Astyanax mexicanus: one gene and its partner. The protein of the gene in region 1 interacts with the protein of each later gene in a pairwise test. Links are inferred from orthologs where the notes say so. Each region holds a gene or a part of one and is shown on either strand. Other genes may lie near its edges.

What was found.
Region 2: the proteins of srebf2 (region 1) and nfyc interact in binary tests that used the Homo sapiens proteins (3 or more experiments, as listed by UniProt). The link is inferred for Astyanax mexicanus from reciprocal best matches to the Homo sapiens genes SREBF2 and NFYC.

Annotation. Positions count from the first base shown.
Region 1 is NC_064410.1:8,704,078-8,720,711, reverse strand, and holds the start of srebf2 (sterol regulatory element-binding protein 2), read left to right. Parts: upstream 1-10,339; 5' UTR 10,340-10,561; coding exon 10,562-10,652; intron 10,653-16,634. Other genes in the region: uncharacterized protein LOC111188799, read left to right, coding at 4,345-4,667, 4,812-5,999.
Region 2 is NC_064410.1:49,636,311-49,653,024, forward strand, and holds the start of nfyc (nuclear transcription factor Y subunit gamma), read left to right. Parts: upstream 1-10,225; 5' UTR 10,226-10,378; intron 10,379-10,745; exon of another isoform or gene 10,746-10,770; intron 10,771-16,400; exon of another isoform or gene 16,401-16,599; intron 16,600-16,714. Other genes in the region: uncharacterized protein si:ch211-13c6.2, read left to right, coding at 3,093-3,179, 3,320-3,465, 3,596-3,715, 4,049-4,115, 4,795-5,620, 6,203-6,254, 6,723-6,794, 6,866-6,967 and 2 more. UniProt on the Homo sapiens protein: Component of the sequence-specific heterotrimeric transcription factor (NF-Y) which specifically recognizes a 5'-CCAAT-3' box motif found in the promoters of its target genes.

The DNA of each region.
Region 1 (16,634 bases):
TTACTTAAAAATGGAAGATTCTGGATATTTATTTCTCCACTTTCCGACTGTTCAATATCGATCCACTGGTTTTTAGAATTTGGGTGTAGCCAGTGTATTACATATTGCAGTTGGGTAGCTAGAAAATATTGGAGAAAATTTGGTGCATTGAGTCCACCGTGTTTTTTATCTTTTTGTAGTATGGATAATTTGATTCGTGGAGGTTTGTTTTTCCAATAAAATTGATTAATCACTGAATTAATTTCTTTAAACCATTTATAGGTTGGTACAACTGGGAGCATCTTAAATAAGTAATTTACTTTTGGTAAAATAAACATCTTGACAGCTGCAATTCGCCCTAAGAGGTTTATTGGAAGTTTTATCCATCGTTGAGTGCTATCTTGTATACTTGTTAATAATGGATTAAAATTTAAAGAGAATAACTCGGACCAGTTAGCAGAGATATTAATTCCCAAATATTTAATATTCTTTGCTATAGATAGAGTTTGTTTTTTTACATTCTTCACGTTCCAACCTTCTTTTCTTAGTGGTAGAATATAAGATTTGCTCCAATTAATGGAGTATTCTGATAAATTTGAATAAGTATTAACCAGTTTAATAGTTTCGGAAAGTGACATTTTTGGATTCTGTAAATAGAGTATTATATCATCTGCGTATAGACTAATTTTGTGAGTACTTTTCTGAATCACTACACCATTTATTTGGTCATTCTGGCGAATTGCTGATGCAAGAGGTTCTAAAAATATAGCAAACAATAGGGGTGACAATGAACACCCTTGTCTTGTACCCCTATATAGACTGAACTGTGATGATATTATATTATTAGTGTTGATTACTGCTTTAGGAGAATGATATAATGTTTTAACCCACTGAATGAAATTATTACCAAATCCAAATGTTTCAAGAGCTATAAATAAAAAATTCCAATTTAATTTATCGAATGCTTTTTCTGCATCAAGAGACTTTAATTGTTTCAATTTTTTTTTGTCTGGGAGATATTGATAACGTTAAATAAACGACGCATATTATCTGAAGATTGTCGTCCCTTAATAAATCCTGTTTGGTCTGGATGGATAATAAAAGGTATAACTGATTCTAGTCTATTTGCCAATGTTTTACTAATTATTTTAACATCCACATTAATTAATGATATCGGGCGATAGCTAGAGCAAAGTGTTGGATCTTTGTCCGGTTTCAATAGGACTGATATTAGAGCTGTATTCATGTGGGGGGGGACATCTTCTATTTGATTTATATGTGCTACCATCTTCATAAATATTGGAGAGAGTATATCTCAAAAGTGCTTATAGAACTCGACCGGGTATCCGTCTAGGCCCGGTGCTTTATTATTGGGCATTTGAGAAATAGCCTGAAAAATTTCAGCAGAGGTTAATGGTAATTCCAATGTGCTAGCCTGTTGTGAGTTAATTTTCGGCAGAGAAAGTGGGTCTAAAAATGATTGTATATCCAATTTATTTGGTCTACAGTAGGATTTATACAGGTTGCTATAAAATGTATAAAATGCTCTATTAATCTCGTGTGGATCGCTTAATATGTTGCCTTTGTCATCTTTAATTGCAGGTATTACCGATTTCTCTTTTTTTTGCTTAAGTTGATCTGCTAAATATTTTCCTGATTTATTACCCTGTGCAAACACGGTTGTGCGCAATCTCTGAATCAAAAATTGATTTCTAGTGTCAATTAAATTATTCAGTTTAAATCTCACTTCCCTTAGCTGTTTTAAAATATGTTCCTTAGGGTTATTAATATAGTCTTTATTTAAACGTTCAAGTTCCTGTTCCAATGAATTTTCAATTTCTTGTTCTTTTTTTTTTTTATACGATGAAAACGAAATAATCTGGCCTCTCAATACAGTTTTTGCTGTTTCCCATAACAAAGTAGGAGAAATGTCTGGTGAATCATTTATTTTAATAAAATATTCCCATTCTTTCTTAAAGAACTCATTAAAATTTGAGTCCTTAAGAAGCGAAATATTAAAACGCCATCTCCCAAAGGATTTCTTCGGTTGAGTACAGAAAAGACTAATGCTTACTGGTGCATGATCTGAAATTATAATTGGGTGGATTTGTGTTTTAACAATATCAGCTACAATAGAATTACTTATAAGAAAAAAATCAATACGTGAGAAGGATTGGTGGTGAGGTGAAAAATATGAGTATTTTTTTGTCAGTGGGTTTTGTAATCTCCAACCGTCACTAAGACCCAAATCATCCATGTATTGTTTTATCATTTCGTTTGAATGCCATATTTTAAAGGAAGGAGAGATATTGGAACGGTCAATGTTGGGATCTAACGCTGTGTTAAAATCCCCTCCAATGATAATTGTTGAGCCTGAATAATTCATTAACTGTGAAAAAAGATGGTGAAAGAATGCTGGGTCATCTTTATTAGGGCCATAGATGCTAGCAATAGTAAAATTTTTGTTATTTATTATTACATTAATAATAACAAAACGCCCCTCTGTGTCTGTTATGGTTGAGTTATGGATTATAGAAATCTCTTTACTGACTAAAATTGCCACACCCCTTTTTTTAGAGTTAAAGGAAGCCCAATAAACATGGTTATAAGATTTATTTTTCAATTTTTCATGTTCAGAATCTGTGAGGTGGGTTTCTTGTAAAAGACAAATATGGGCTTTAAGCTTACTCAGATGACTAAAATTTTTTGTTCTTTTCACTGGTGAATTGATGCCACGAATATTCCAGCTAACAACTTTTATAGTAGACATTATGATATATTATGGATTTTAATACAGCATAATAGGTCATTAGTCGTTGATTAAGGCAGTAGGAAAGTATACTAAGGAAACTCATGATAAATGAGCAAAGAACAGAATCTAACACTGGAGAACCCCCTTTTTTACAAAACTCATTATTTAGAAAATAGATTATTTCTAAATGAAAACACTTAACAGAACAACACATATTTCAAAAATAGCCAAACACCAAGGGTGAAAAACATAGACATTTGTCGTTTGTATGTAGCTTAATGTAGGCTACGGGTGTTATTTAAAGGTTTGTGTTGTATTAAACAATATATAAACAAATTGATATAGCCATGGAGTAGTGTTATATTAAACAATATATATACGGATCAATACAGCCATGGAATAGTGTTATATTAAACAATATATATATATACAGATTAATATAGCCATGGAGTAGTTTCCATATCTCTGTACAGTTTTCCATCAAGATACAGCCTATCTACTGAGACTGTGGCGCGTGTTCCTTTCTTGATGTGTTCTTTTCTGATCTGAAAGAGTACTTTTCTTCTTTCTTGGATTTCCTTAGGGAACTGATCGTTAAGACCAAAATGTGTCCCTTTAAGTTCTCTTCCTTTGCTTTTTACGAGCTCTTTTTGTTTATATCTTTCGAATTTGGCTTGATACAACTGAAGAATTCCTACTTGTTATTTTTCATTTTTGACATACTTACCGGAGCCAGTTCATCTGCCCATTATGTTTATTATCTTGGAGACACAGAGTGCTTTTTGTGACATGTTGGATTATTGATTTCTGAATAAGTTTGGGGAAAATACCTATGTTTTTAATATTGCAATGTACAGCTCTTGAAAAAATGAAGAGACCACTTAAAATTATGCGTTTCTCAGATTTTACTAAATTTAAAAGCTCTGGAATATAATCAAGAGGAAAATGGATGATCACAAGCCATTAAATCAAGCTGAACTGCTTGAATTTTTGCACCAGGAGTGACATAAAGTAATCCAAAAGCAGTGTGTAAGACTGGTGGAGGAGAACATGCCAAGATGCATAGAAACTGTGATTAAAAACCAGAGTTATTCCACCAAATATTGATTTCTGAACTCTTAAAACTTTATAAATATGAACTTGTTTTCTTTGCATTATTTGAGGTCTGAAAACTCTGAAATTTTATTTATTTTCTCCAAATAAAAGCTCTAAATTACAATATTTTCATTAGAAATTTGGAATAAATGTTGGCCTTAGTTTATAGAATAAAACACCAATGTTCATTATACTCTAATTCAGAAACTGAAGTGGTCTCTTATTTTTTTCCAGAGCTGTATAGCAACAAAATATCGCAATATGATGTTTTTCTGCTGTTTACAGCTGTAGGACATACACAGTATATCCTGTTTGACATTACGAGGTAAATATTTTAAACCTTAAAAAGCTGTCACACACTCCTCAATCAGTGGTCTGGGCTTTACTTCAAGTGCACTTTGGTGTGAAGCTATCCGCTCCCAGTGCCATGTGTGTGGTCGTGTAATGGGTTAATTTTGTAACATGCATCAGGATATCCTAATAAAGCACACTGTGATATGATCTCTGTATCGTTGCAGCTCTAGTCCACACTGAAATTGCTAAGTGTGTGACGCTGAGTGCTCCTGGCCCCCACGCCTTCCTGCTGGTGGTCCCGCTTGGACGCTACACAGAGAATGAGAACCGAGCTGCCCGAGAGATGCTCCAGGTGTTTGGGGAAACGGCTCTACAGCGCCACACAGTGGTGCTCTTCACCCGTGGAGATGACCTGGAGGAGGGTGGTGGTGGGATAGAGGGGTTTCTAGGTCGGGAGGAAGTTCCTAGAGAGCTGAGGGATCTGCTGCAGACCTGCGGGGGGCGATACCACGTACTAAACAACAAAGAAATGGGAGATAGAACACAGGTAAATAAATGTAATCATTTTGATGGTGTATTAGATCTGGCTGATGTTAAAAGAACACTGGAAAATTGCATGTATATTCACAAAGAAAGCAAAACTGCTTATTTTACTGCAGTGGTTTTATGATGTCCTGCTTTTGTTCTAAAGGTAAAAATGCTACTCCAGAAGGTGGAGAAGATGGTTCAGGAGAACGAGGGGCGGTTCTACACCAGCGCCATGTTCCAGCAGGCCGAACTCGCCATCCGAGCAGAAGAGGAGAGACTGATGAAAGAGAGAGGACAAGGAGAGGGAGAGGAGGTGGAGAGACCGGATGGAGGGTTAGCGATAGCTAAGAGAAGACGAACGGAGCTGGAGCAGGGCTTGAGACGGAGAGAGGTGGAGGGAAGACATGATGAGGGGGTGGAGGAGAGGGGGAGGGATGGAAGGATGAGTGAAGGGAGCTGGAGGGAGAGAGAGCGGAGGAGAGGAAGCAGGCGCCAGTCACTCCGATTAGCCGTTAGCCGCTTCCGCAGGGAAGCTGCTCTGTCTCAGAAGGTTCTAGACCAGGTGAAGGTGTTGGTTACAGCCGGAGCTACAGGCATGGCAGTGGGAGCGGTGTTTGGAGCTGCTGCCCCTCTGGCTATGGCAGCTGGAGCCTCCATGATGGGCAGCTCGGTGGGGCTGGTCGCAGGGCAGTTTGCTGGGGTGTCTGTGGCAGGGAGCGGGGTGGGAAAGGCTCTTGGCGCGATTGTAGCAGCAGCAACTGGGAAAACAGCGGTAGCCGTGGGGGCTGCTACTGGGGGGCTTCTGGGGGGATCAGTGGGAGCCTTGGCTGGGGCAGAAGCAGCCGGGCCTAGAGAGGCAGCACTGGAAGCTCTAGAACAGGTTGGCACAGTGGGTGCTATAGTGGTGGGCGTGGCTGCAGGAGTTGGTGGGACTTTAGGGGCGGGAGCAGCTATAGGGGCGATGCTTGAGGGTGGGGCTGCAGTCGGAGGAGCAGTTGGCATCGCTAATGCTACGGCTGTCGCTGCACCAAATGCTGTAGTCGCTGGGGGTGCTGCTGCAGAGGGTGCTCTGGCTGCATCGCAGGCTGTTGCCACCGGGGGCGTTGTGCAGACAGTAGGGGGCGCTGCATGCAGCGGTCAGAATGCTTTGGCAGCTAGCAGCGGGCTAACAGGTGCTCTGAACACGGTGGGAACTACAGCACGGATCATCACGGCAGTGACGGAGATCGGAAAGGCAGCGGTGGGAATCGTGGTGGCCGGAGGGCTGGTGGTGAAGGTGGTGAAGGAGAAGGTTCGGTCTGCAGCTGGAAACACGGAGAGACATTCCTACGAGATTTACTGGAACAAATGAGGGACTGTGCTAAAAGACGTAGCCTTGGAGAACAAAACATAGAGATGATGCACTGTCTTAAGCCCTATCAAGACGAGATTAGTTTCTCAGGGGTTCTGAGGTAATTTTCTCTCAGAGGGGGTTCTCTGAGATAATTACAGGCTAAATTATCTACTGTTTTTCACTAAACTCCATGGTCGTCTGGAAACTGTAGTCCTGTCCAGACGCACATCTCCAAGTTTTGTCACTTTTCTGTTTAATAAAATAGCCATTTGTGCGTTTCCGCGGAGATCCACGTAAACACAACAGCGAGTGGAAATGGAGGAGCTACTGAACGCGATGTCATGTGACCGAAAAAGCCAAAAAACTCACTGGCTCCCCCTTTTTTTTATTGCAGTCCGGATGCAAGAGTTTTATCACTGAGTAGAAGTGTGAAATATTTTTCACAGACATCCCCCTGAGAAACTAATCCCCTCCGGATTGGGCTTTAACCTGCTTTTCCATCGCTTTTTAATCGATGCTATCCAACCCCAGTTTTTTAAACTGGGTTCCATTATTAATGCACTTATTATGCCGCAGTAACTAACAGGGGTATGCATTTCAACCAAAATCTGAATTTAATTATTCACCAGATGTTCACCAGAAACTGCTTAATTGTTTAGTTAAGATGAGAACTGAGTGATTCAGAGTGGCGTTTGGTGTAAAATGTTCGGTTCAAGATAATTTTACCCAGTTACAGTAGTATAGTGTAGAGAGGTAGTGAATGGAAGCAGAACATCTGAAGCTGTACAGCTCCTCACATAAAGTTATTGCAACAAACGTATTCTGAGAATTTTCACACAAAAGGTAAAGAGACCCAAATCAAATTTTCTCACCTAATACGATGTTTACTTTTAGGCTGTTCACACTTATCTTTTTGATGTGATCTATACAGTATTTAGTATTTGGACAAATTATTCCTTTACTTTGGTTTCAGCCAAAAACTTGCATTTTGGTGCATTTCTACTATTTTAGTAAAGGGGTTTGCTCTTAAATATTTACCTGAAGCTCATATTTACACTGCACTTCATTTAAAAAACAAAACATCAAAAAATGATTGATTACCGACTCAGACGATCAGTCCAGAACTGGTTGGGTATTAATTACAGTGGGAGTGTGATGTAGAGCAGAACTGGAGCAGATGTGGAGATCAGATGTAAAATGCTGGTGCTGAGTACAGTATTATGTACTGTGGTGACGTGCCTTCAGACGGGTGTGTGTATGCCTCTACTGGAACAGTCTGCTGATCTGAACTCAATAAAGCCTGTTTTTCTGGACCATTGTGTGTGGGTGTGTTCTGATGGCCACTAACTAATTACTGTTATTACTGTATTACTACTCATGCACACACTGGCGTAGGAACCGGGGGGGATGGGTGGGACATGTCCCACCCAATATTGGAAACAGGTGGATTTGTCCCACCCAAAAATGATATCGTTTCGCTCAGATCAGCTGTACTATTAATGAGGAGACAGACCGGACCAATCACGGAGCCGGCTCAGGTATTAAGTCCCGCCTCTCAGTAGAAACAGCCAATCCGTTTTGCGGCTCGCAGAGGACCGGCAGTTTGCTGTTGGGGAAGCCCCGCCCCCTCGCTGTGAGATTTAGCAGCGGGATCGGGACGCAGCTTCAGCTGATTTTAAAACGGATCTGGATATACGGAGATTTTTCTAAAAGAAAAGTAACGATAGGCTAACCACATAAACTGTGATAAGTTTCTGATAGCTGGTTAAAAATACACGACTCTAAATCAGCACACAGATTAAACACACTGTGATTAATAAACTGCAGCTGTGTAAGTGAGTTAGCTTGGAATTAGTTAGATTGGAAGTCAACGTTAAAGAAAAAATAAACTATTTATGTAATGTTCAACTTGCCCTGTACCTGATCAGCTAATCACTATTTCATTTTTAAACTGTCTTTATTAATTTAGGATTAATTTAGCTAACTAGTTGGCTAGAAGCTGGATGTAGAGGATAGCCAGAATGTAGTACAGTACTTTATGTTTGTAGTTTAAAGCAGTTTCTTAACCCTGATCACCGCCCCAAAATTGTGTTTTCCACCTGATCCAGCTGATCAGCTAATAAACAGTCATTTACTGAGTTTACTGAGTTTAATCATGTATATCCAGCAGTGTATTAGACACATCATACCACCACTTACTTTAATAAGTGCCTTTAAAGCAGAGGAAGCTCTAGAATATGTAGAACAGTGTTAATATTCAGTAGAATATGTAAGAACAGGGTTCACAGTAAGGCCACATGTCCTTTATGAAACGTAAAGTTACATTCTTTTACATAAAAGGACACCAATCTTTAGAAGAGCTCTCAGTAGAAAAAAGCGTAGGATTTTTTTTAAAGAGTGGAGAAAATGTAAATATACAACAGAATTGACATGCCAATACATGATTATAATAATAATAATAATAATAATAATAATAACCAAATCTGTTATATTATTTTAAATATTAGGTGATAACTGATCATTTTTGTATGTATATGTATATGCATATTTTTTTCTTACAACAGTAAATGTAATGTGGAGTAACATGTTTAGGTTGTAAAATCACCTTGTTAACTAATAAAAAACAAAATACAGAAAAAAATGATTATTTGTGATTAAAAGTAATTTCCACAAATGTTGTTCTAAGAAACTATTGGGTGGGCTTGGGTTCATATTGGCAAATATGTCCCCCCCAATATCAAACCTGCTCCTACGCCCTTGCATGCACACACACACAACCAGCAGGTGGTTTTCACCCACCCACTCCTGTATATCTCCAGCACAGATAACAGAATTATATTTACTTTTCCTGTTTTATAGCACAGATAACCCTGTGTATTAATAAAATTTAATGGTCAGGGTTTAAACAGGGCTGTACAGGATGTGATGCACATTATAAAACACTAACTTAAGGAAATGAAGCCCTGAGTACATTAATTAATTATACATACAGCTCTGGAAAAAATAAGAGAGCATTTAAAAATTACAAGTTTCTTTGATTTTACCAAATTGAAAACATCACAAGCCATCAAACCGAGCTGAACTGCTTGAATTTTTGCACATGGATTGGCATAGTCATAGTATCCAAAAGCAGTGTGTAAGACTGGTGGAGGAGAACATGCAAAGATGCAGGGTTATTTCACCAAATATTGATTTCTGAACTTGTTTTCTTTGCATTATTTGAGATCTGAAAGCTCTGCATCTTTTTTGTTATTTCAGCCATTTCTCATTTTCTGCAAATAAATGCTCTAAATTACAATATTTTTATTTGGAATTTGGGAGAAATTTTGTCCATAGTTTATGGAATCAAACAACAATGTTTATTTTACTATAAATAGCAAAATCAGAGAAACTGATTCAGAAACTAAATTGGTCTCTTATTTTTTTTTCTACAGATCTATATTGTTAAGACATCACAGAACTCCTTTTTCTTATATTATGTATTGTCTAACAATTAGAACAATTATAATACTTTTATTTCCAATAATATAAACTTACTATTGATGGTAGGAATCTTACAATAAAATGTAAAAATACATGTGTAGTAATCAATTATATTCTTCTGAACCTATAAACCTATTAAAATAATATTTCTGTTGAACATGTACTTCAAGATAAAAAAATACTAATAATGTAAACTTCTTTTTACTGACAATTCTTATAATATGAACCTGAACACTGTTACTCATTTAATATAACCTACTGCTTAAAATATTATGGTGCTATAAAACTTATTAAAATATTATTTGTGTTGAACTTGTGCCCTGTAGAACAATTATTATAAACACACTAAACTTAAAAAAAAAAAAATTATTTTACTATACCTTTATAAACATGCTATTACATAGTGTACGCCTACTATTAATACAAAACTATTATATGTAGCTATAAAACTAATTATACATTTATTGTTACTATATCATATCCTGTTAATATATGGTATTTCTACACTACAACGCTCTAAATCTATTTTTATCTGAATTTATGTTTTTATGAACCTGTTTTAGAGTATTTAGATCTGAGTTAGAATAATGTTTGTGTTTGGAGTTGGCGATGATGTAACACCAACATAACAGAGGAGTAGCTCCGCCCATCCGCCTCAGATACATGAATATTCATGAGATCCCGCTTCAGAGCAATAGGCGAAACCAGAGTAGGCGTGGCCAGCAGTCTGAGGCGGGTCGTATTCAAATCACAAAGCGCCTCTGCTCATCGACGTACTATCAGACCACGGAGCGGCGGGCGCTGTGATTGGTCGACTCTGCCTGGTCTCACTCCGCGGCCGAGCCAATCAGGCGTCCCCGGGGCGCATGACGTCGACGTTGTGGAACAAGATGGCTCCGTTTGTTTTGTGAAGGGGGTTCTGACGGTTCAGCTCAGCGATGCGGACAGGCCCGGTTTGGGGTATTTTGGGGTGTTTTCAGGGTCGGTTTTAAGGCTAAAACACACCCCCACTCCTCAAACACACAGGCAGAGCGGGCACCGCCTCCTCTGCTGCCCGACCCGCCCGGGGAGACACCGGAACCGGGGACGCCGCTGGTATGGACGGCGGAGAGTACCTGTCAGCCATGGAGAACATGGACCCGACCCTGTCCGAGCTGGGGGACGAGTTCACCCTCGGGGATATCGACGGTAAACAGACCGGGCTCTGCTGTGGTCGTGTCTCTAGTGTCTGAGCGCTCTGTGCGCTGTTTAGTGCGTTATATGCTATGTTCTGTGTGTGTAACCGGGGTGTGTACAGTAGTGAGACAGGTCAGTCAGTCAGTCAGATGGTGATAGTAGTAGTAGTAACGTTACTGCATTATCATAGTTTATATACTCACTTATACACTGTGTAGTACACTAAACAACTACAATACACTAAGTGTGTGTGTGTGTGTACAGCCCCCCAAAAGTTTGGGCACATCTTTTTTTCCCCACATTGTAAATTAATATTGAAGTCATCCACACTATAAAGGAACACATAAAAAATAATGTAATAACTTTAAATTGTTAAACAAACCAAAATACCAGGTGGCTCTTATCTGTGATGCTGTTAACTTGCAGTTCCTGAGGCTGGTAACTTATCCTGTGGGGCCCGTCCTAATGAGGGCCAGTTTCATCATGTTTTTGATGGTCTTCAAAGTTCCTGAAATTTTTAAGATTGACTGATGTTTATCATTGACGTTCAATTTTTTAACTTATTATTTTATTCTTTACTTAGTTAAGTAATTATTTTTATAATATGGATTAGAACTATATATGGATTAATTAAGCCAACTCTGCCTCTTTACAACTTTTCGACTGATGCTATCAAACACACTAAGAGGCAAGAAATTTAGGTTATATAATATATACAGGCTAATAGACTTGTTTAGTACCCTAAGCTCTGTATATACAGACTTATTTCCCTAGCTATAATGTACATAATGTATATACGGGCATATAGACTTATATAGTACACCAAAAGTGTATATACAGGCTTATGTTCCTAGCTATAGAGTACACTACAAAGAGTGTTTATACTGGCATATAGTTGTATTATAGTACACTTTACATACTTTTTTGAACACTAGATACTGTTTATACTAGCTTATACATCTAGTAATATAGTACACATAATAGTTACTAATTGTACGGTATACTATACAGTGTACATACTGTCTTGTAGACCAATATAGTACACAACATTTTGTATAAATGGCTTATAGATTTACAGTATAAAGTACACACTTAAGTATATATGCTGGCTTTAACACTTTTAAAGTACACTACATAGAGTGTATAGTGGCTTATACATATTATTATATTCTTCTATAATATTCTTCTCTACATTTTCTCTATATACTATATTATCCTCCTTTTACCCTGTTCTTCAGTGGTCAGGACTGCGACCGTAAGGTGGTGGTGTGTCGGTGTGTGTTTTGCTGGTATGAGTGGGTTAGACACAGCAGTGCAGCGTATCTATTGAAACTCTGTATACAGTATTGACACCTTCCTAAAATAATTTATCAAGTTTTTCAGGAAACACAAAAAAAACTATTTAAAAATGAGCAGTGGTTTAAAATGATAGTTTATCATACAGTCTCGCAGTAGAACCAGAAACAATACTAATTGAAAATTCTGAAAATATTGATTGAAAAGACAGAAAACAATTATGATTTTAACCAGCCACAAATTATAGAGCATTTCTATGTAGCTTTTGGACTTAGCTATTTCGCAGACTAAAATTCAGACAAAAAAAATCAATAATAAGCCTAAACAACAATGCAATATTCATAACCAACATTCTTTAATAATACGAACTACACAATTCTCCTCACTTATCAATTGAGGATGAGCTGTAAATTGTGTAAATTAGTTCAGTAAAGGAGCCTGGTATTGGAAATCTATGAAAATATTATTTTATTTTGACTGAGGCTTAATGAATTAGCTTAAGTCACACTCTTGACACAGGCCATTATCCTAAAGAGGTAGAATCAAATGATATGATCAACTGAGGGTGTAGGCAATTTTACAACATATGGCCATGCAGCAATATTAAGACATGATTTAGACAAAAAAAAAAAGTATTTTTTACAATTTTTTATTATTTTAGGAAGGTGTATAGTGTCAATCATAGGGCATATAACCATAACTCTTACAAAGGGGACATTATAAAGCATATATTGACCACCCATGTGGTCCTTTGTATTGTCTGTCTGTATGTACTGTAGTAGTAGTAGTAGTAGTAACAGTAATATATTGTACAGACAGTAGGCTTTCGTGTTACGGTTGTGCTTTTGTTTGTTCTGTCGACTTTAGCTCCTGACGGGGCTCATTTACCTCAGGGCAGTCGAGCTCAGGCAGATGGGGATGGGGGTCATTAGTGCAGATACAGCAGGTTATTACTCAGTAACTACAGCGGGGTGATGTGTACACTCTTATGCACTCCCAGGAGTGCAGAGATGAAGTGTGTACTGATGTTGGTGTGTGTTTAGCTGTGTGTGTAGACAGTGCACACTTACTGATCTCGGTTTTGAGAGCAGAATTGGGCATGCAGATTTACAGTGTTGATTTTTTGAGTATATTCTCTAAGTTAGACTGCAGGTTGAGTTTAGGCTCACTCTTCGGAAGTGTAGTAGTTTGTACTCACTTTGTCTGGGTGGAGTTAAGATGAAACACACAAAGTCTATCTTTCATATTGGCTTCTGGCAGCATTTATTTGCATATTGGTTGTGTGTAGTCTTGCCAATCAGGGCTATATTTGCTGGGTATTCAGTTATATTTTATATAATGGCTGATTGTCTGTCTACAATGTTTTAGACCATAAGAGCAAGTTACGCTTTTCTTAAATATAAAGTATGACTATAAAGTGGTGTGTCTTTCTCAGAACATCCTTGAACTCAGACGGAGTGCAGGTGTTCAGTTCTTCGGTGCAGGTCTTATCAGATCTGTTATCAAACTTGTCTCACATCTGCTATCAGACAGATAGTGCCACATCAATAAACTCTTGCTAATAATAAAGATGATCACACAGTAGACATTAGTGTATCTGGCCATGTTTTGATGGCACACTTTGATAGAGAACAGTATAATGGAAGGACAGCAGTGTGACCTCGGTTAGTGAGATAGTGGGGCTAATTGATTAGATAGCGTTTGATTATTGCTGCTGTATTACCAGTTCTGACCATAACATTAGTAGTTGGCCTGCAGACGTGTGGAGGCGTGTGGAACGTGTGGTGCATGTGTTCGAGGCTGAAAGTTCAGGGTTAGTGGTGACAACTGATTGTAAGGTTTCTGCGCTCAACTTTGCTTTCTGCTGCCAGAAATTGATAGTAATGCTGTCTAATGTTTAAAAGTCTAAAGTGTAAATAAATGTTTTGGGGTATTATTTAGTGATGCTACTTTACCACTTTCCTACTGTTGAGGTCAGAATGTAGATTACTTTTTACCAGGGCTGTCAATGTTAACGTGTTAACGCACACAATTCTTTTGGAATCAGTAAAGAGTTATTATTTTTAGCGCAAATTAATTAAACCACAAAGTTTGCCCCTGTCGTAACTTCCACCATAATATGCCCCACCTCCAGCCAACATGCAGATTTCATACATACTTTTTAATTGAGCTAAACAGTTTAGTCTGATATATTAGCCAGATGATATACTGCTATTAACAAACGCTGTCTCTGCTGCTCCATGCTGTTTACACATGCAGTAATGTACAGCGTTCACTGCTCGCAGCTGCACTGCACCTGCCATTAAAAATACTGTGTTTAAAAGCTCAGTTACAAATTCTCAGCATTCTGTTTTAAAACAGATTCATACTGCACAGATATATACGCGCTGGAACACAGAATCTTCACGCTATATTTACTTTCTTGCTCCTGCACCAGACAGTTCTGGCCAATCAGAGGAGACAACGTGCTTGCATGGGTTATTGGTGCGCATTTTGGTGCGTTTAGGTTTATACCTGTGTGAAACCAAACCAAACAGAGGGAGATAACGCTCTAAATAAATAAACTGATCAACTGATCTGGACCATGTGTTCGGGGGCTGCTATTTTCATGGAGTGAAAGGTTTTCCAGCCCATGAAAATAGCAGCCCCCAAACACACAGTGGGAATAAAGTCCCTCTGTCTTCCACAGCAGCTAAACTTTGACAGAGCTCCACAGTAACATCTTATGAAAATGCTTGCAGATGCCAGTTACAATTCTGTATGTAAGAGTGTAGATATATCCTCAAATATGTCTTAAGTTTCAGACAAACATCAGCTGTGTTTACCAACAAGGTGAAAACTTTGTAGAGCTTTGCCTCAGCCCTCCACTTTTCATCTAAAAGAAAGTTCTCTAACCAAACTGGGTAAGGAAACAATCCATGTTAATGAATACATTATCTGATTCTGACCCTACTGAGGTAAATTTATTACAAGAGTAGCAGTGCTAAGGTAAATTTGTTACTGGAATAGCTCTAATGAGGTAAATTTGTTTGATTAGTAGTTCTGAGGGTTTTTTTTTTGTTAGAATAGCATTGCCGAGGCAAATATATGACTAAAAACTAATCTGACTAGATTAGCACTAGTAAATTTATGATTAGAATAATTGTATCTGTATTAGTACTACTGAATTAAATGTATAATAATTAGTATTGCACAACTTGGGGAAAATTGTGACTATAAAAGCACTGCTGTGGTAATTGTTTGATTAAAATTGCACTTTTGAGGTTTCCTGTGCTGTACCACAACCATTTGTGCACCTGTTGCACTCAGCAGATCAAGGTCATTCCTCCAGGTGACCTTGGCTGAAGTGGACAAATAGAGGGCAGTAAATCTCCTCTCTCAAGGCCAGAGTGTCGTTTCTGACCTTTCATCAGTTCAGGGATGGTGTAGGTGAAGGTGTGATGCTACTGTGGGCAGGTACCAGCTGTAAATGCCACTCATCTTACCAGCCTTTCTTTTTGCTTAGGAGGAAAATTACAGGTACAGGCATTTAATCAAAAGCAGAACAGTGCTTTATTTAATCAGTTATATATACAGTTGCAAGAAAAAGTATGTAAACCCTTTGGGATTACTTGAATTTCTGCATAAATTGGTCAGTAAATGTGTTTCTGATCATCATCTAAGTCACAACAATAGACAAACACAGTCTGCCTAAACTAATACAAAAAATATATATGTTTGCGTGGTTTTATTGAACACAACATGTTCAATAAGAGTAGGTTTTAAGGAAAATCAGCATCTCAAACCCTGTCAGTGGAGAGGTGGTTCCTTTTTCATCAAGGATGTTGGGCACTCTATTAAAGATTCTCTTACTGTTTATTGAAGTGCACAAGGAAATTTGGCCAGCAGATTTCCAAACGCAGATATTTGATTCGCTCTTCTGATCTTGTCAGCTTTTCATACTTTTCATACTTAGAAACTAGCTCACTGCCATCCTTGCCCACTGATAGGCCAACTGATAGAAATGTACAGTACAATATACAGGACAGTACATTAGCCTTGTCGCTACTTGTTGTCATTGAATACTATAGAGCCAAAAAGACAACTATCACTATTCTAGTGCATATTTCTATTCGCCCACTCTCCGCTTTACGCAAATGTGTGGTGTTTACAGCACGTAGATGTGGACAATGTAATGTCACATTTCCACCCTTTTCTGTTTATTTCTGATCAAATCGGATACATCACTAACCAATATAATTCCTATATTATTGTGCATGCCTACTTTGTCCAATCACAGACTTTCTGTGTAATGAACAGCACTGTGATATCACTTTACACTCTGTGTGGAGGTTTATACTGTGTGCTGTCAGATCACATTACTGTAGCTTAGATCACAGGTTACAGTAATATGGGTGGGGAAGTCAGTGGAGGTGGGAATGTGATATTTCCTGAATGGTCATCAGTGACCCGCTTCAGCACCCTGGTGTGAAAGCAGTGTGTAAGGGTGTGAGGTGTGAGGATGAGGGTGGGAGTGTCTGCATAGTTTACATTCATTCCATCCTCCATGACTATACTCTTTAACACCCCAAACACAATACACAACTGCAAATATTAAATGTAGTATATTTTATGTCTTTAAACTGCAAACAATTAAAAGTAAATGGCAAAACAAATACAAAATAGACTGCTTTCAAGAATATAACAATATCAAGTTTT
Region 2 (16,714 bases), about 41 Mb from region 1:
TATCCCGAGCCGCTGTGGGTCACTTCCATTTCTGTATATGTGCAGATATCAACTCCAGTTCAGCATACTCAATTGACTGAACAATTGCTGTTCAGGTGACTGACTAGTACCAGTGGTGAAACACTGAAAAGCCATGGGCAATGGTCAGTCACAGATGTTCAACTACAGCCAGACAGCTGTCAAGAAAACTTGCTTTGCCTGTCAGCGCCCTTTGTGATGTACAGTTGGTCTAATGGACATTTAATGAATTTTTTTTGGATTGTTTGTGGGGAAACATCTTCTGAACCACAAAGATTGACAGAAATGATCCTGGGAGATGTGCAAAGACTTGGGACTAAGATTCAGTTGTGTCATGCACATGACAACTGTTTTCTCATGCAGTTTGTTGCAATTATGAGTGTTTTCACCAAGACAGAAATAACAGGCAAGTCCATTCCTACATCCAGCTACAAGACTGGAAAGTATCTACATCTACACTTGTGGGCCATTCACAGTACTGCATCAATGTAAAGAAGAAGAAGAAGGAGATGATTGTGGACTTCAGCATGCCCACCTCCCCCTGCACATTGGAGGATCTGTGGTAGAAGTGGTTAACAGCTTACAGGTACTTGGGTGTGCACCTGAGTAACAATCTTGCCTGGAAGGCACATCAGCGGCTCTACTTCCTCAGGAGGCTGAGACGAGCTGGACTCGGGAGCGCAGTTCTCACCTCCTTCTACAGATGTGTGGTGGAGAGCGTTGTGTGCTCCAGCATCAATGTGTGGCATGAAAGCTGCTCTGCTGCAGACAGGAAAGCTCTGCAGAGGGTAGTGAAGGCTGCACAGAGGATTGTTGGAGTCAGCCTCCACAGCACCACGGACATCTACACCTCCAGATGCAGGAAAAGGGCCACCTGCATCAGGAAGGATCCCACCCACCCAGCACACGCACTTTTTCTCCCGCTCCCCTCAGGCAGAAAGCTGCGGAGCATCAAGTGCAAAACAACAAGACTGAGAAACAGCTTCATTCCAGAAGCTGTAAGACTCTTAAACTGCACCTAGTGAACAAACCCCACTTACACGTTCAAGGACAAATTACACATTTAAACAAAACTGACACTTTACATGCAAAAGTGCCTTATGCACTTTTGCATGTTTTATGTTGCTGCTACTTCCCTGTTTCCCTACTACCCATTTATATTATGGGAATTCTATCTTATTTATTTCATTCATAATTTTTTTTTTTAATTCTATTTTATTATATCTACATAACAATTGCTCTTTTGGGTGGAACTGGACAGTGACATTACAATTTTGTTCCACCTCATGTACCACATGTGATGCAAATGACAAAGTCTCCTTAAAGGGATAGTTCGGTATTTTTGACATGAGTCTGTATGGCATCATCATAACCAGTGTCGTGCATCCACACTGACTTACCCCCCCACAGCGTCCTGTGAGCCGAGTTCTTGTCCAGTTTAGGTCAAAGCGAAAGTAGTCCGGCATGTTTGCTGGGGTCAGGAAAATAACTCCTTTTTCTTCCCAAAGCAGTACGTGTTCAAAAGAGTGATTTATTTACATCACAAAAAACTAACCCTGCAAAAGTCACGCCTCGTAAATCACTTGGGTCCTACTTTCTCTCGTTCCATATCAATGCGCGCAGCGCTGCAACCTGACAGCTAGCCTACGTGTTTGGGTCGCTTTGTTTACTTCTCGCCTTGAGAACATGTCTGACTACGAGAGTGACGAGGAAAACATTGATCACCGCTCAGAGCCACGGGGATATCATTATGAACCCAAGTATACAGATGTTGAACTTCGCCAAATGGAATTAGATCGGGCAGAAAGAGAGAGGGTGGACAGAGAAGTGGTGGAAGATGAAACTGGAGCCACTGCTGGAGCTGCGATACCCAGGGTGGCCGACAAATCCTGGTGCACTTGTTTCAAGTGCGAAATAATGCAGACCGAGGTGGAATGCTACTGTTGCAGGGACTTAGTTATGCCCGAGATGCAAGACCTATCCATTGATGAGGATGTCAGCGGGGCAGCTGCTTGCATCACAAACAACAGTGACTTCCCTGCACTCCTGAATGCTGGTGTGTTGAGAACTTTTTTCCTTTTTTTTGCCCAGCGCTAGTACCCAAAGTTTCCTCAGAGCAACATCAGTCACAGGAAAACGATGAAAACTCTGCGGAGAATCAGCCACATCTTTGTTGCTACAGCCTGGATAGTCACAAGTCCGTACCATTTTAACACACACACACACACACACACACACCTAGCTATATATATATATGTGTGTTTACAAAGCTTATAAAAGCCAATAGACTTCTCCCTAAAGTTAGCTCGTTTGCGTTGCTAGTCTGAACACAGCTGCTAAGCACTGCCAAAACACAGAACAAGTTGACGCGTGCGCAGCTCGCTGTCAGAATGATGCGCACTGATACGAAATGAGAGAAAGTAGGACCCAAGTGATTTACGAGGCGTGACTTTTGCAGGGTTAGTTTTTTGTGATGTAAATAAATCACTCTTTTGAACACGTACTGCTTTGGGAAGAAAAAGGAGTTATTTTCCTGACCCCAGCAAACATGCCGGACTACTTTCGCTTTGACCTAAACTGGACAAGAACTCGGCTCACAGGACACTGTGGGGGGTAAGTCAGTGTGGATGCACGACACTGGTTATGATGATGCCATACAGACTCATGTCAAAAATACCGAACTATCCCTTTAAATCCTTAAATATGGCTGCTTTTCGCATGATAGCCATGTTCCGGACATAGCCTAAAACAGACCTGTGTATTGTATGACCCCAGGGCCACATCCAGCCTTTTAGGTTTCTATATCTGACCCATGTGAAGTCAATAGTAATTAGAATTTGAATATATATTATACATGCTATACAACTAAGTTGCTAATTTATCTTTCTAATTTTTGGTTCATTTACAATTAATCAGTATTGTAATTATTGTGACAGGGTCTACACTCTGTATGATTGTTTTGATGTAAAAAATGAATGGAAGTGTTGTAAGTTCATTTCTGAAGCAGATGTACAGTTTTCTGCACAGTGAAGCTGTTGTACAATGTTTCTTGACTGTTTTATGGAATTCAATAGACCTTGGCCCTCCACCACGGCAACTACCGGAATGGACCGATATATTACAGTACTTGGACTACCTGAAACTTGATGAGCCCATTATTGGTAAGACAGCATCGTAAAATCTACCATTTATTGCGAGTTGTAACATGCCAATCTTAACTCAACAGTTAATTGCCAGCCAGTTTTTAGTCTAAATAAGACCCATTCTCATAGCATAATGCTCACATTCTGTGTTATTCTAGGACTGGATTCCTTGGTGCAGCAGGAGGATACTTTTGTGGATGGCAGATGCTATTTGAATTATAAGTGTAAGATGTGTAATGTTGACGGCATCATGTGTTCTATGGTATCTCACATTGTGAGCCGAAAGCATCGCCATAGATACCTGGTAAGATTTAAGAACACGTTTTTTTCTTTTTTTTTCTTTCTACAGTTAATGTATTGTAAAGTAACTGACTATAACATAGTCTTTAATTAACCAAAGTGGTATTAAAGGGTCCTGTAACACAACTTCACAGCAACTGAAGAGGCCAGACTTGCTGACCCAAAGCAATGGTATGGGACAGAAGCAACCGGGGCTTGTTGCCAGAGCCAAGGCTGCAATTGTGGAGAAGCAAGATGGATGGGGTACTCCTTCGGTACGTAATCATAATGAAAAATTATTAAATTATGAAATATTTGATTTTTGTCTGTGATGATTTAGAATAGAATATGCTCACATTGTATGAAAGTAGCTGTTCTGACTGGTTTACTTAAACTCTGTAAATACTCAGTTTGGCATATTTCACTATGAAATATTACGTCACCTCCATCTCTCAGTATTATTGATTTTATCCGTTATAAAAAGCAGTATATAAAAGTGTAAAATAAAAAATTTTGATATATTAAATATCAATATTTAATATATTAAATCATACTTGCTATTTAAGTTTGGATTTTTGTGTTTATGTTCTGGTTTGTTTTTATTTAAGGCCATCAAAGAACCCAAAGAGAAATTCCGGCCAGTAACTCGTTCAATGCTGAAACAGGCTAAACAAGGTAAGGAGTTTTCATTCTTTTCCATCCTGCAGGACCTCAAGCAAGCATAGTATCTCCTGCATTTAAAATGGAAACAAATATAAAGCACAACAATATTCAGTGTGGCATGTAATAAATCACTTGTGTGCGTAATCGCACAACATAACCAAAAAATATTAAACTCTTACATTGACTTGATTACAATAGTAAGTGCATTTACAAACACTTAATAATAATGATGAACTGCTGAAATTTTGATGTTTTTCTGTTAATACATTTAAAAAGACCTTAGTAATCTGATAACAAGAACTTTTAACAAATGTGATGTGCAAACGTACAATAACTTTACAGCAAAGAGTTATTTCTTTTTTCTGTTTAATCTTTGTGTGTAAATAAAAACAGCAATAATTAGCTAACGGACAAGAAATAATTATTATTTGTGAGCATGTGAGTGCACTGAATGAAAATAGGAGTATTAGTCCTCAGCTTAATGTTAATAACCTAAGCTGAAACATGTATGTTTCTGGAAACAATAGCATTTGTCATCTTTAGGCTTAATATAGCAATATGGCTCAACACCACCAGTCCACAGTTTGAAAATCTCAGTTTTAAACCCTTTTTTTTATTCTTTGTCATTATTAATTGAAAAAAAAAAATAACAGTTTGACACCTTTTTTTTTTTTTTTTTTTTAAATCACAGCAGGCCCCAAACCAACACAAGGCTCTCATTCTCACGCATATGAAGCATCATCTTATGGCCAAGACTGGAGAGGGCAGGCTCACTTAACCACAGATGGATATAGACAACCGGATTTTCCAAACAATGTTTTTGGGAAGCCATCTCAATTTCATGGGAATGACCAGAATGATCGTCCCAGAGGTGATGCAGCTCTATGGCAAGCTTATCCAAACACTGACCGACCTGAAAATGCATATTATCAAGATGGCAGACCAAGACCTTATCAAAATGAAGGCTACAAAGAAAAATTACCATATCTTGAAGGAGATGGTAGTGTAAGGTCTTTTGTAGAGGGTGATGGTAGTGGAAGACACCATCTAGACAAGGCAATTCCAGGGAGCTCTTATCGCAATGAGCATCAGGATCAGTACTACCCAGAAATGGATCCCAGAAGAGGGTGGAACTCGAGTGGAGTTGTACAGCAGGATCTCTATCATGGCGGTGTTCCAAGAAGCAGGTTTGCTGACACAGACAGGAGTGGTCCAGCTCAGCACCCAGAAGAAATGGTCGGACAGGTTCGTGGTCAGATGTACGCGTCACGTGATGGAAGAGGACATAGTATGGAGGAGATGCAAAGACCTGGCAGAAGCTTTCAGAATATGGAGAAAGGAACAGACTATCTCCAAACTATGATAAGAGAAGCAAGAGCTGGAACCTATGAGATGCAGGAATATGCCAAAAGGGGTGGTATGGGAGATTATGCTCAGGAACATGTCCCACACAAAAAGAAAAGGGAGAGTAGATTTTCTGATGCCACACCAAAGGAGGTTGAGCTTGCACAGAGGAGGTAATGTCTATTTCCAATTGATGGCAATCTATCAAAGAATGGAGCATGTTTTAAAGAAGAAATCCAGTGTGAAATCAACTTGTAGAGGTGAAAATGGTGTAGTAAAATATGATAAGTGTAAACTTTTGTGGAGTAGCCCACCTCCATTCACCCCCAGCATTCTGAAATACAGCACTTTTAGCCGATGCTCCCAACAGGCTTACAGTGCTGGTGATGGGGGCATAGCATTGCCCATGCAAAGACATCGCCACTTTTTTTAATAAACTTTTTTATTTTCTTTGTTAATGGTGTGAAAATAGCCGTTTCTTTGCACCTGTCACCAGCATTGTAAGCCTGTTGGGAGTATTTGCAAAAAGTGTTGCATTTCAGAATGCTGCGGGTGATCAGAGGTGGGCTGTGTGACAAAAGTTTCTACTCATCATATTTTACTATACCTCCATTTACACATGATTTTTACATAATTTAACAAACTTCATATTTTTTTTTAATATGTAAAGTTATATGTGCTAGTTTTGTATCTTTTATGATTCACTTTGATAACCCTTGTACTTAAGATTTCCAATGTATATATATTTTTTTCAGGTTTAAAGAAGGCACATTTCCACCCATGAATCAAAGTAGAGGCCCAGTTCAGGTGTGTTTAATGGAAAGTTGTCACTGCTCCAAGCATGTGTACTCACTAGATCATTGTGCGTGCGTGCGTTGAACATCTATTAATGAGATTTCTTGCCATCACGTTCTTGTGATTAGATTACAGGCAAGGTTTGCATCTTATGACTCGTCCATTAAAGTACTGCATAAACAACACTTTGCTAAACTTTGTTGTAAATACTCAACAGTAATGTAGACGTTCTGACTGTCTGTTGGTATTTAACATTATTTGATCCACCGGGTCACTTGTGTTGCTTATGTGGCAGAAGTCATATTAACTTCTGCCCAGTGACATTTGGCATGTTGGTTTGTTGTTTTTTATGTTTTGTTGGCCTCAGATGCTCTAACAACTACAAGTACAAAATGACAAAAGTCATTTGGCCAAAGGTCCTTAAGTGTATTTGTTTTTTTTTTTTTTGGTCCTAATATCATATCAAAAATGTCTATACAGGTATTTGAAGAAAGAAGGGCTTTAGATTCGATGCACACTGCTGTGAACTCGGAAAATGTTTTGGACGTGCTGGTAAGTGTAGACGATTAAACAAATAATTACTGTCATTGTTTTGTGTTTTTACTTTTTTTTTTTTTTTTAAGGATGGGGTCCAAATTGACAGTGCAGAAGAGGCTAACTTCTTGAAGCAAAAGTTGTGCGATGTTCTGAAGCAGTTTCATGCGAATAAATCTCAGCGTTCTGAGGTTTGAACTGGATCCTTGTCTTTTCACTACTCTAAAATAAGGTTTATCTTATAAATTCTAAATCTTTTTTTCCACTCCTCAAACACATCCCAGGTCTCTCCAAGTGACAGAGAGTACAGGAGTGACGTATGGATGGATCAGCGGAGGAACGCGCAGGAGATAAGAGAGTCCGCAAGATATGACCGTGATCTTAGAAATTTAACAAATGATTCCACGGGCGTTAAAGAGACATGGCCATGGCCAGAGAAAAATACCAGAGATGTTCAGGACCCAAGATATGTTGAAGACCAGAGACCTGATACAAGATATGAAAATCGTTCTACAGATTTTCAAGAATCAAGACCTTATGCAGACTCTCAATCAGATTTCCCACAGGCAAGAAGGTTCAAGGACAATCCCAGAGATTTTCAACACGGTGGCCAATTTGGAGAAAATCGTATGGCTTTTCAACAGGAAAGAGGGTTATGTGACAACTCCAGGGATGTTCAGCAAGCGGGACATTTTGAAGATCATTTTTCAGCATACCGGCAGGCCAGCAGTTTTAAAGAGAGCTCAAGAGCAGGACATGTCGAAGAGGACCCCAGAATCTTTCAGAGCATGAGACACACCGGGGGTACTGAAGAAAACAGAAGTTACGAACAACAATTTGAAGGAGCAGTATTGGGAAGACATGGCGATCGTGACTTCAGACGCGTTGATGCTCAGCATGAATTTGAATGGGGTGCACAAAGAAATAGATCGACTGGTCGGTCTGATGAGTTCAAGGATTATCATCCAGATGCTGAAAGAAAAGCTTATCAAGGTAGGCTGATGAGCAGTTCTAGTTTCTTCTAGTTCGATGTCTGTTTAGAATATTTTATACTTTGCGTATATTTATTGTCTAAATCTTAGAAGAAATAAAGGGTCGAAAAGAAAATTTAAAAGCTGATCAAATCCCAATTTTGTTTCACACTTATCTTTTCAGAGGGCCATTGGAAAACCAGGTCGCTCAGAGAAGATCAGGCATATGGCGAGAACCAAGCGCATATGCCTCATTACCACGTAGATCCAAGTACAGAACTCTACGATCCATTTCATCCATCATCGTCTCCACCACCAGCACCACCCCCCTCCAGTCTGGAAAAGCTGGCTTCCACTCTCTTGGAGCTTGTGTCACGAAACTGAATCTGAAAGGATTCCTAAGTGTAATGTACATAGATTTGTATTTGCTTATTTTGTGTAACGGTTAATTATAAATGTGTCATGTCTATTAGAAATGAATAACAGACATAGTTCTTTTCTGTTCTGATTGGATTGTATATTGCATTTGTAGTTGTTTTGATCTTTTTGAATTGTTGGCTGAATCTAAAAGAGAATTGTTGTTGCAGAAAATACCAGAAAAAATAAATTTTTGTTCCTAAAATCCTTCTGTCTCTTTCCTTAATTCCTCATGTCAATTTTCTTTCTGGCCGAGTTGTTCAGTGTTAACATTGGGGGGGAAAATGCAGACTTTCTGACTCCTAATAATGAGTATGAAAATAATTATCCCATAAGAGCCCAGACCCAGTTTTGAATATTGATTCAAAATAATTGGATCAGTTATATTGAGCAGCCCATTAATGATTCTTCTGATCGTGATCAAGGTCACAAAACTTCTGTAAATCTTTTAAGGTTTAAATCCCAAAGCAACACATCACAATGACAATTTCACAACATGTTTCATCATTTTGTTCAGCTTTGTAAATTGGCTTTTGGTAAATGGGGTCAGATGCACACATTCACAAACTGCCCTGCTACACACCCAGGATGTTTACATGCGTCACTTGAGGATTTCATAAGTTTGACTGAGGGACCAAGTACTGTAAAAAAAAAAAAAAAAAAACGCTTTCCGAAAGGACTGAGACACATTACTGGGAGGAGTTTTAGTTGTTGAATGAGCCATGGAGAAATGAATGTGTTCAAACTTATCTAACATGGTTTAAACCACCAGATTTGCAGTGACAGCAAAAAAAGGACACCTACTACTGCAGGACACAGCGTAGCTGAAGCTGAAAACATAAAAGGAGGAAGTAGATGCCGGTCGAAAGAAAATGTATTTTTATGTACCATTACTGAGACCATATTACCTTTTTTTACTTCATGTTTTTTCACTTGTTGACTGTACATGTCAAAATGCAGGAAGGTAGATCTCCATAATGAGTACTGATAGCCAGTACTTTAAAATAATTGGTGTCCACATTTCACCATATAATGTATTTAAGGATTTTGGAGCACACTGTTGTCTTTCCCATAAATCTGCTATTTTAATAAATAATGCTAAGTGATTCTGTCCCTCATCTTTTGTCCCCAGCCTCGTACCCTGGGTCATGCTTGATTATACGGTTTAGCTTGGGCAGTTTGATCATGCATCAACTGAACTTGTAGACCAGCTAAACCATCAAACTTCTACCCAGGCTGTTTTGTTTTTTTTGGTAGGGAAACCATGTTTGCATGAAAAACCATTAAATTGGTAAAGAAAATCAATCGAGTACATCTAGTGAAGTTTTTTTGAACATTCACTTTAGGCATATACATCTTTATTACTATTACTACTAAATATGCATTAACATTTGACTATCAAAAATAAAGCTGCACAACAGGGTGGATTGTAATAAAAATGTGGATGATCATTGGAATTCACCATTTGAAATCACCAATAGAGTTCATGGTGACATTGTTCAGTTTCAAATATACATTTTAATTTCCTTATAATTTACAATGACAGGGTAGAAAGCATTAGCTTTGCCTCAGCTATATATGTTTGTAAAAATTAATGAATATCACATTAAATTAACATTATAAATTGCTGAATATGCAGGAAGGGTCTTTCATCCCTTAAAAAAAGACAACAATCCACAGTAATTTACTGGTAATTCACAAAACTTGGTTGAGATTTGGGGAAGCTGCTTTTAGCTATTATGGCCCAAACCTTTGGAACGCAAAGCCATTTCATCTTTACACATTTTTAAAAAGAGTATTAAAACATTTTTATTTAAATTAGCATTTTCATGTGTATATTTTTTTTGTGTAAAGCACTTTGGGTTGCACTTGTGTATGAAAAGTACTGTATAAATAAAGATTATAATTATTATTTATTATAATTATTTTTTTATTATTGTGTAAATATGCACAGTTGAAATGAGCGGGCTGCTCTCGCCGAGCCAATCGTAACGGCGGAGGGCGGGGCTTGCCGGAATACAGGTGGACTGCGCGCTTTACAGGTGGGTTTCTGTTTTGAACGTCACGGTAAACGTAACACTTATTCCGGTTTGAAAAGAAGTTGTCAAAGCGTCGGCCATCTTGGCTCCTGTATCACCCTGAATTAAATTAAAATAGCGCTGAAGAGGACTGACTACAGGACTACAGGACTGCTGTACGGGTTCATCACCGAGAGTGAGTACAACAGCGGGACGCGACGCGCCGCTCCGGCTCGGTTTTAATGGCGGGTTGGGGTTAGATTAGGCGGAGGTCATGAGAGAGCCCTCGGCCAATGAACGGCCTCATCCAATGATTGTTTTGGAGGATGAACATGGGCGCCATTTCCCTCCTCGCTCTCTGAGGCGCTTATTGGTGGCTAGTGGAGAGGAATGGAGGCGGTCGGGAAACTGGCGGCCACTATCCGCCATATTGGCTCCGGGCTCCGCTGCGGCCGGTTGAACGCGGGCTTTGTGTTGAGCCCGAATGGCGTTGGTTTTCAACTCGCCAGCCCTTAGAAAGCTTGATTGGTGGAATCTAGTCCGGGGTTTGATTGGTCTGAAGGACAGATCCAAACGTAGTCTTTATTGGTTAGTATGTCTTTACAGCGCTTTACAAATATTTTAAGACACTTTAGCGTGGGGCTGCTGGATGTGTGACTGGACGCATCGCTCCGCTTTTAGTCCACAAACAAGATACTCGCGGCCTGCTGATAATAGCGAGCATTGTCTCCAAACTTTCACCAGCTCCTGTTTAAAACGCACATTAACACGCTGTCCGCCGGCGTTCATAAGGCTAGTGATCATACTGGCTTACAGTAACTACACTGTGTTACTGCTGAGCCAGAAGCCGCGCTGCCATTCACTTTCATTACAGGGTTATATTTATTAAACGATTTCTAGCTAACATAGTTTAGCTTAGATTGGTGTTAGCAGGCTAACGCTAATGGTCATGTGGGTTTGTGTTACGGCGAGCACAAATATTACATATTTGGTTATAGCATCACTTTACACTGTTTAAAAAAAACAACATAAAACAAAAAAACATGCAAATACTCCATCAAACAGGCTGTAAGAACTTTAATTTTCGTGCTTTCCCGCGGTAAACATTTGTTTGTACATAGCTTGCTAACTTATTAACTAGCTAGTTAATGTCTGTGCCAAAATAGCTAGCGTTAGCTAGTGATAGGTTAGTAGTTAACTAACCATATATATAAGTTATATATTTATAATATGTAGCCTTAGCTAGTTAACCCTCTATGAAGGAAAACTGTGGATATTAGTTATCAAATGACAGACTGATCATTGGGATCAAAGCTATAGGTACTTTTGAGCAGCATAACAGATGTCATATCGTAACGTGAGCAAAAATATTTCAAAAATACCCTGATATATAGTCGTATATTTTAGCACCATATGGACCATCAGGGTAAAACAATTGCTCTTTGTAGCAAAAGGAAAATTCACACTTCTAATTTCCCATTAAGTACCTGCTAGAGACAGATTCTATTTGTACAGTATTATTTATTTTACTTCATTTCTGGATATATGGAGTGCATTGTTAGTATCGTGACATTATTGATGATCTGCAGTAAATCTCAGTTAGGACTTTGGTTCATTAAATCTGCCATATGCCACATGCAATAAAATCAAACATTTCCAAAGTTACTATAACATATAAATCAAGTCTTGCTTGGTCTCAGAAAGTAGGGTTTATTCAGGGGCACTGTGTTTGTGTTCAAGTTACTGGTTACAGTAACTGTGTACTCTAATTTCCAAAAAAACTGGAATCACCACAAGATACAAGAAGTTTTTGACCTTTCATTTTCTGGCTCTACTGCCCAAACCTTCAGTACTTCTTCTCCTGACAGCTCTCAGTCTAACTCACATTCACAGTTCTGAATAAAATCATTTCACCTTACTCATCTCTGTGCTTACTAAGTATGGAGCCTGTGGTTCACTACAGAGTACATTAAATAAATGCTGATTTTTCAAATAGTTAACATTGCTGTGCATGTCTAAAAAAACAATGAAATTAACTACCTGTGACAAAAATGTAACATCTGCACAAAATGTAATCACTTTTCCTTTTATTGCACTAAAAGTATTCAGAAGATTCAGGCTAGTTTTGGATCTCCCACAAAGTAATGCCAATCTTTTCAATGATAAAATATAGAGGTTATATTATGCATAATCCTTTTAATTGCACCACAAATTAGATTACTTTACATGGTTCATATGGTCATGAAAAACCTGGAAAAGTAATGGAATGGCAATTTTCAGTCCTGGATAAGTTTTGGAAAAATAAAAAAAGAAAATGGAAAAGTCATGGAAATTTGATCTACAAATCTTTTTGTTTCCATTTGTCAGCAGAGAAAATCTATTTTGAGCTACAAATACATCAGCTCGAAGTTAATTCAGTAATTTAGTCTGATCCATTTTTAGGCCTACTATAAATATATTATATCATATAATATTATATTATAGGTTTAGTTGATTTTTGGTTTTATTGTCCATGTCTGCACTCATGTTTTAAAAATTGTATGGTCATGGAAATTTGCCTTAAATTAGGAATATAAGGAGCCTCCTTCACATACTTTATGTATGATAATATCGGTGTAAACGGACTCTGCAGAATGTAATAACGATAACTAGTGATGCTGTACAGCTCCAGTAGGCATATTTGGGGATATGATTTGTCATGGTGCTCGTCACCTTAATCCAGAATAATCAGATGCAATTAAAACAAGCTCTTCAGCCCAGCCTCCAAGCCAGGACTTTACTTAATGGAAAGCCTTTGTAATTTACTACAAAGGATTATGTACTTCCTGATCTCATTTATCTAGTAAACTCTACTTAGCCTATTTGCAGTGAATTAATTCCAGTCGTAGCATGTTGGGCATTATATTGCTTTCTCATGGATATAAAACCAGCTGAACAGTCTGTGCTGAGTGACACAGTGCATTTAATATTTCAGCCGCTGTTTCTAACCACATTACCCAAAGACAGTGAATGTTGCTGTAACACAGGAAGTGAGGTCCTCTGTGGCAGTTGAATGGCATGCCTGGAAACCATGACTCTCATGATAGTGCACCTTGATCTGACTTGGTCATAACCTGTTAAGATGTCTGTTAAAACTTTTGTAATGCTTACTTTTGTAAGCCTTATCCAGGGCGCAGTTGCAGACATACTGTTTAATTTTTAAAACCAGTGACTGGTGTAAAGGGAGGTTTTGCACTCAAATCATCTACAGAGCTTTTTTAGGAAATAGGCTACCTTTTTTGTTAGTTATCCTGTTTAACCCAGTGTTGCGCAGTTATGTGAGATATATCCAGCTCAGTTTGAGGTTAATTAGGTCCCATTTCACTCAGCTGCATTTTTTTATGGATTATTTAGTAAACAGCTTCCCACATATCCATCCACCTTTGCTGTTCACACAGCAAATTTCCCAGCACAGTCACGGTTGTTCCTAGTGATGTTTGATATACCAGACCACTGTTTAAACTTTCAAAACTCGTCTGGCTAGTCTGTGTTCTTATATAATTGCTTATATTTGATCAAGTTGCAGGTAAGATTTTAGTTTTTAATGATTACCCTAATGTTTTTTGCTGGTTATTGGTGGTCATATATACATTTTTGTTTTATATCACATCGTGACCATGAACTGCTGATTCTTATTATTTGCACTATACTTACCACAAGCTGGAAATGCATATTGTCTTTTTGTGGGCATTGATTTTATTTTCATTTTCAGAACTTTTCTTTAGACAGTTGCTTAGAGGAGTCCATATTGTGTAAAAAATAAACCATTAGAAGCTTTGTAATTCATTTAGCTGGGAGTTTGTTACAGTAGGTTACATTGCATATGGTGGTTTATACATGCATTTTGTAGCTGCAGACATGCTTATTTTTCGCAGGCATACTTCACTCATTTTCAAAGGATGTGCATCAAAGCAATGCAAGCACCAGAGTACCAATTCTGCCCTCCTATGGAAAAATGACTAATTTAAACTATGCATTTATAGATGTGTTGATGTGCATTTTAAAAAATGCATTTAGTTGTATGTATTTATTTATCGAGATGAGAGAATTTGGGAAAAATGGTTTTCTTAACGCCCTACATATTTAAGTTTGGTTAGGTACACAGAAGAGCTACTACAAGAATCAGTGATGGCCAGATCTTATTTATTAAATTAATTGCATACATGGATAACTTGTCTCATATTTGTAAGCTACTCATAACGCTGCATTTTGGGCTAAGCATAACAAGCATGAGGGAGAAATCTAGTCACTGCCCTCAGCAGGGGTCGTGATGGTGTTGCAGGTAGCAGTGAGAGAATGCAGCCATGGCATTTTGGCCAGCTGTTCCATAATCTCCTGTGCCTTGCTGCTATGTAATCATTTACCAGTGTACTGTGTGTCCAAAACGCTTGAAATCAGTAATGCTTCGCCTCAGTCAAGCTCGTTGGTGACCTGCTCTTTCACTCTGCTTTTTTTTTTTTCTTGTACATTTTGATCCTGTAGAACACAACCTCTGTTCGTACCCTCCATCTCTGCCCCCTCCCCCATCTCTCCCTGAATATGCAGGTCTGTGTGTGTTCCATCCTGCTGTTTAGTTTCTCAGAACAGTGGGGATTTGCTGTAATGACAGGAATAACCTTGAGGTCATTCCACCATCCCCTGCATCTTTGAAAGCAAAAATACCATCTACTGCTTTTACCTGCTGCCATTTCTATAAATTGTGTGATTGTGACCTAGTCAGCTTGGGTGAGAAGTGAGGTCATCTGAAATGTGATTCATGAATTACCGTACTGTACCCTTTTGCACACATAATTGAGCTTTGCGTAAGTGGTGCATCTGTCTACATTATTAAAACTGCTGCATGAGATTTTCTATACTCATAATATCCTAATTCATATGAGATGTTGGTATTTTTGTTCACAACTATGTAATGTTATAGTTTATTCATAATACAGAAAACATCTCTTTTTTTTGGTTTGTTTTATAGTTTTAAACTCTGGTCAATTGTGTTTGTCTGTTCCTGCCTTTGACAACTGTCAGCGTATTTAGGCTGAATGACTTAAGGTCACCTTTGCTGGTCAGTGTATTTCCTGATTTCTTAACGGCAAAACATCATACACGTAGTCTTGTGCTAATGCTTTAATCCTCACCAATAAACTGCACATTGCCTGCACCTTTAGAGCACGGATGTCCTTGCACATGTATGTGCCTGCAAATCTGCCCTGTATGACATTCCACTTTAAATCATCCGGCGACAGCATGCGGCATGTTCCTTGACACCCCTCTGAGCCAATGGCTGCTCTGGAGGTGATTTGCATCAGCGCCGAGTCGGCCACTGTGCTCCTCGGAGGGGCGGGCTGTAGAGACATTTTGTTTGACATTGTAAATAAGCAAGGGACAGTTGTTAGTAGAGCCAGTTGTTCAGTCCAGCTCCGGCAGCAGAAGAGATTTGCAGGGAGGTAGCGAGGGGGAGAGTTTTAAGGCTAGAAGGCAGAGGCTGTCCTTTACCCCGTGTCCTTTTTTTTTCTCCCCCCACTTTCTCCTTTTGCCTGTTCTTTTCTCTCTGTTCCTTTTTTCATTCCCTGACCCCTATCCTACTGCTCAAGGTAACTTAAAACAGGAAGTTGACTCTCAGTGAAAAGGGGTGGAGTAGACCGAGGGTGAGGAAAAGGAGGGGGGAGGTGGAATTACACAGCCGGTGGACGGTCAGCCAAGCCAATAGACGCGAGAGCGGACAGTCTTTGATTGGAAGAGGGGGAGAAATGGGTGGGGGTTTGTGAGAGAGGCGGGCCGTAAGTATCATGTAGCAGGCTAGATTGATTACTTTCAAGTGTTAAAGGGAAAGCAGGCTGGAGATTTTTGTCCAGGACTTGCTCAGACTATCTTCTGTGTGTATCTCTCCCTCCGACTCTCTCGCTTTTTTCCCATCTCTTTCTCTTTCTATCTCTCCCTCTTTTTATCTTTCTCTCTGTCTCTCTCTCACTTTCTCTTCCGCTCTCCCGGCAACTCTGCTCGAGCTGAAGCAGGGGTCAGCTGAAAGACAAACACCAGGGCTGCCTGGCAGAGACAAACTCTGTCTTTGGAAGGCTCTCTAGAGCAGGAATGGAAGGGGGCTGTGTGTTTAGGGAAGGGGGTGTGTGTAGAGGAGATGGGGCAGTGAAGGGGGGAGGGGAGGGGTTGAAGAAGAAGAGGAAGAAGAAGAAAGGGGGGCTTTAGGTTATTGCTTTCGGCTTTGGGCTCAGAGTGCAGCGCTGGACAGCCTGCCCCACACAGTCTTTTGTTTGCTTCTGGGACAGAGTGCCTGTGGACAAGAGACTTTTCCTGTCTGCCTCCGAAGGAGACTTCGGCTCCGAACATCTGTCTCCTCTTCTGTCCGCAGAGCACTATGAAGGGCATGGGGTAAGTGTGACAAACTGCCTTCAGACAGCGCCATAAGCATGTATTTGATGTTTTTGTTTCTAGATCATTTTTAAAATCTTTTTCTTGTTCTTGTTTGTTCTCTCTCGCTTGTTTT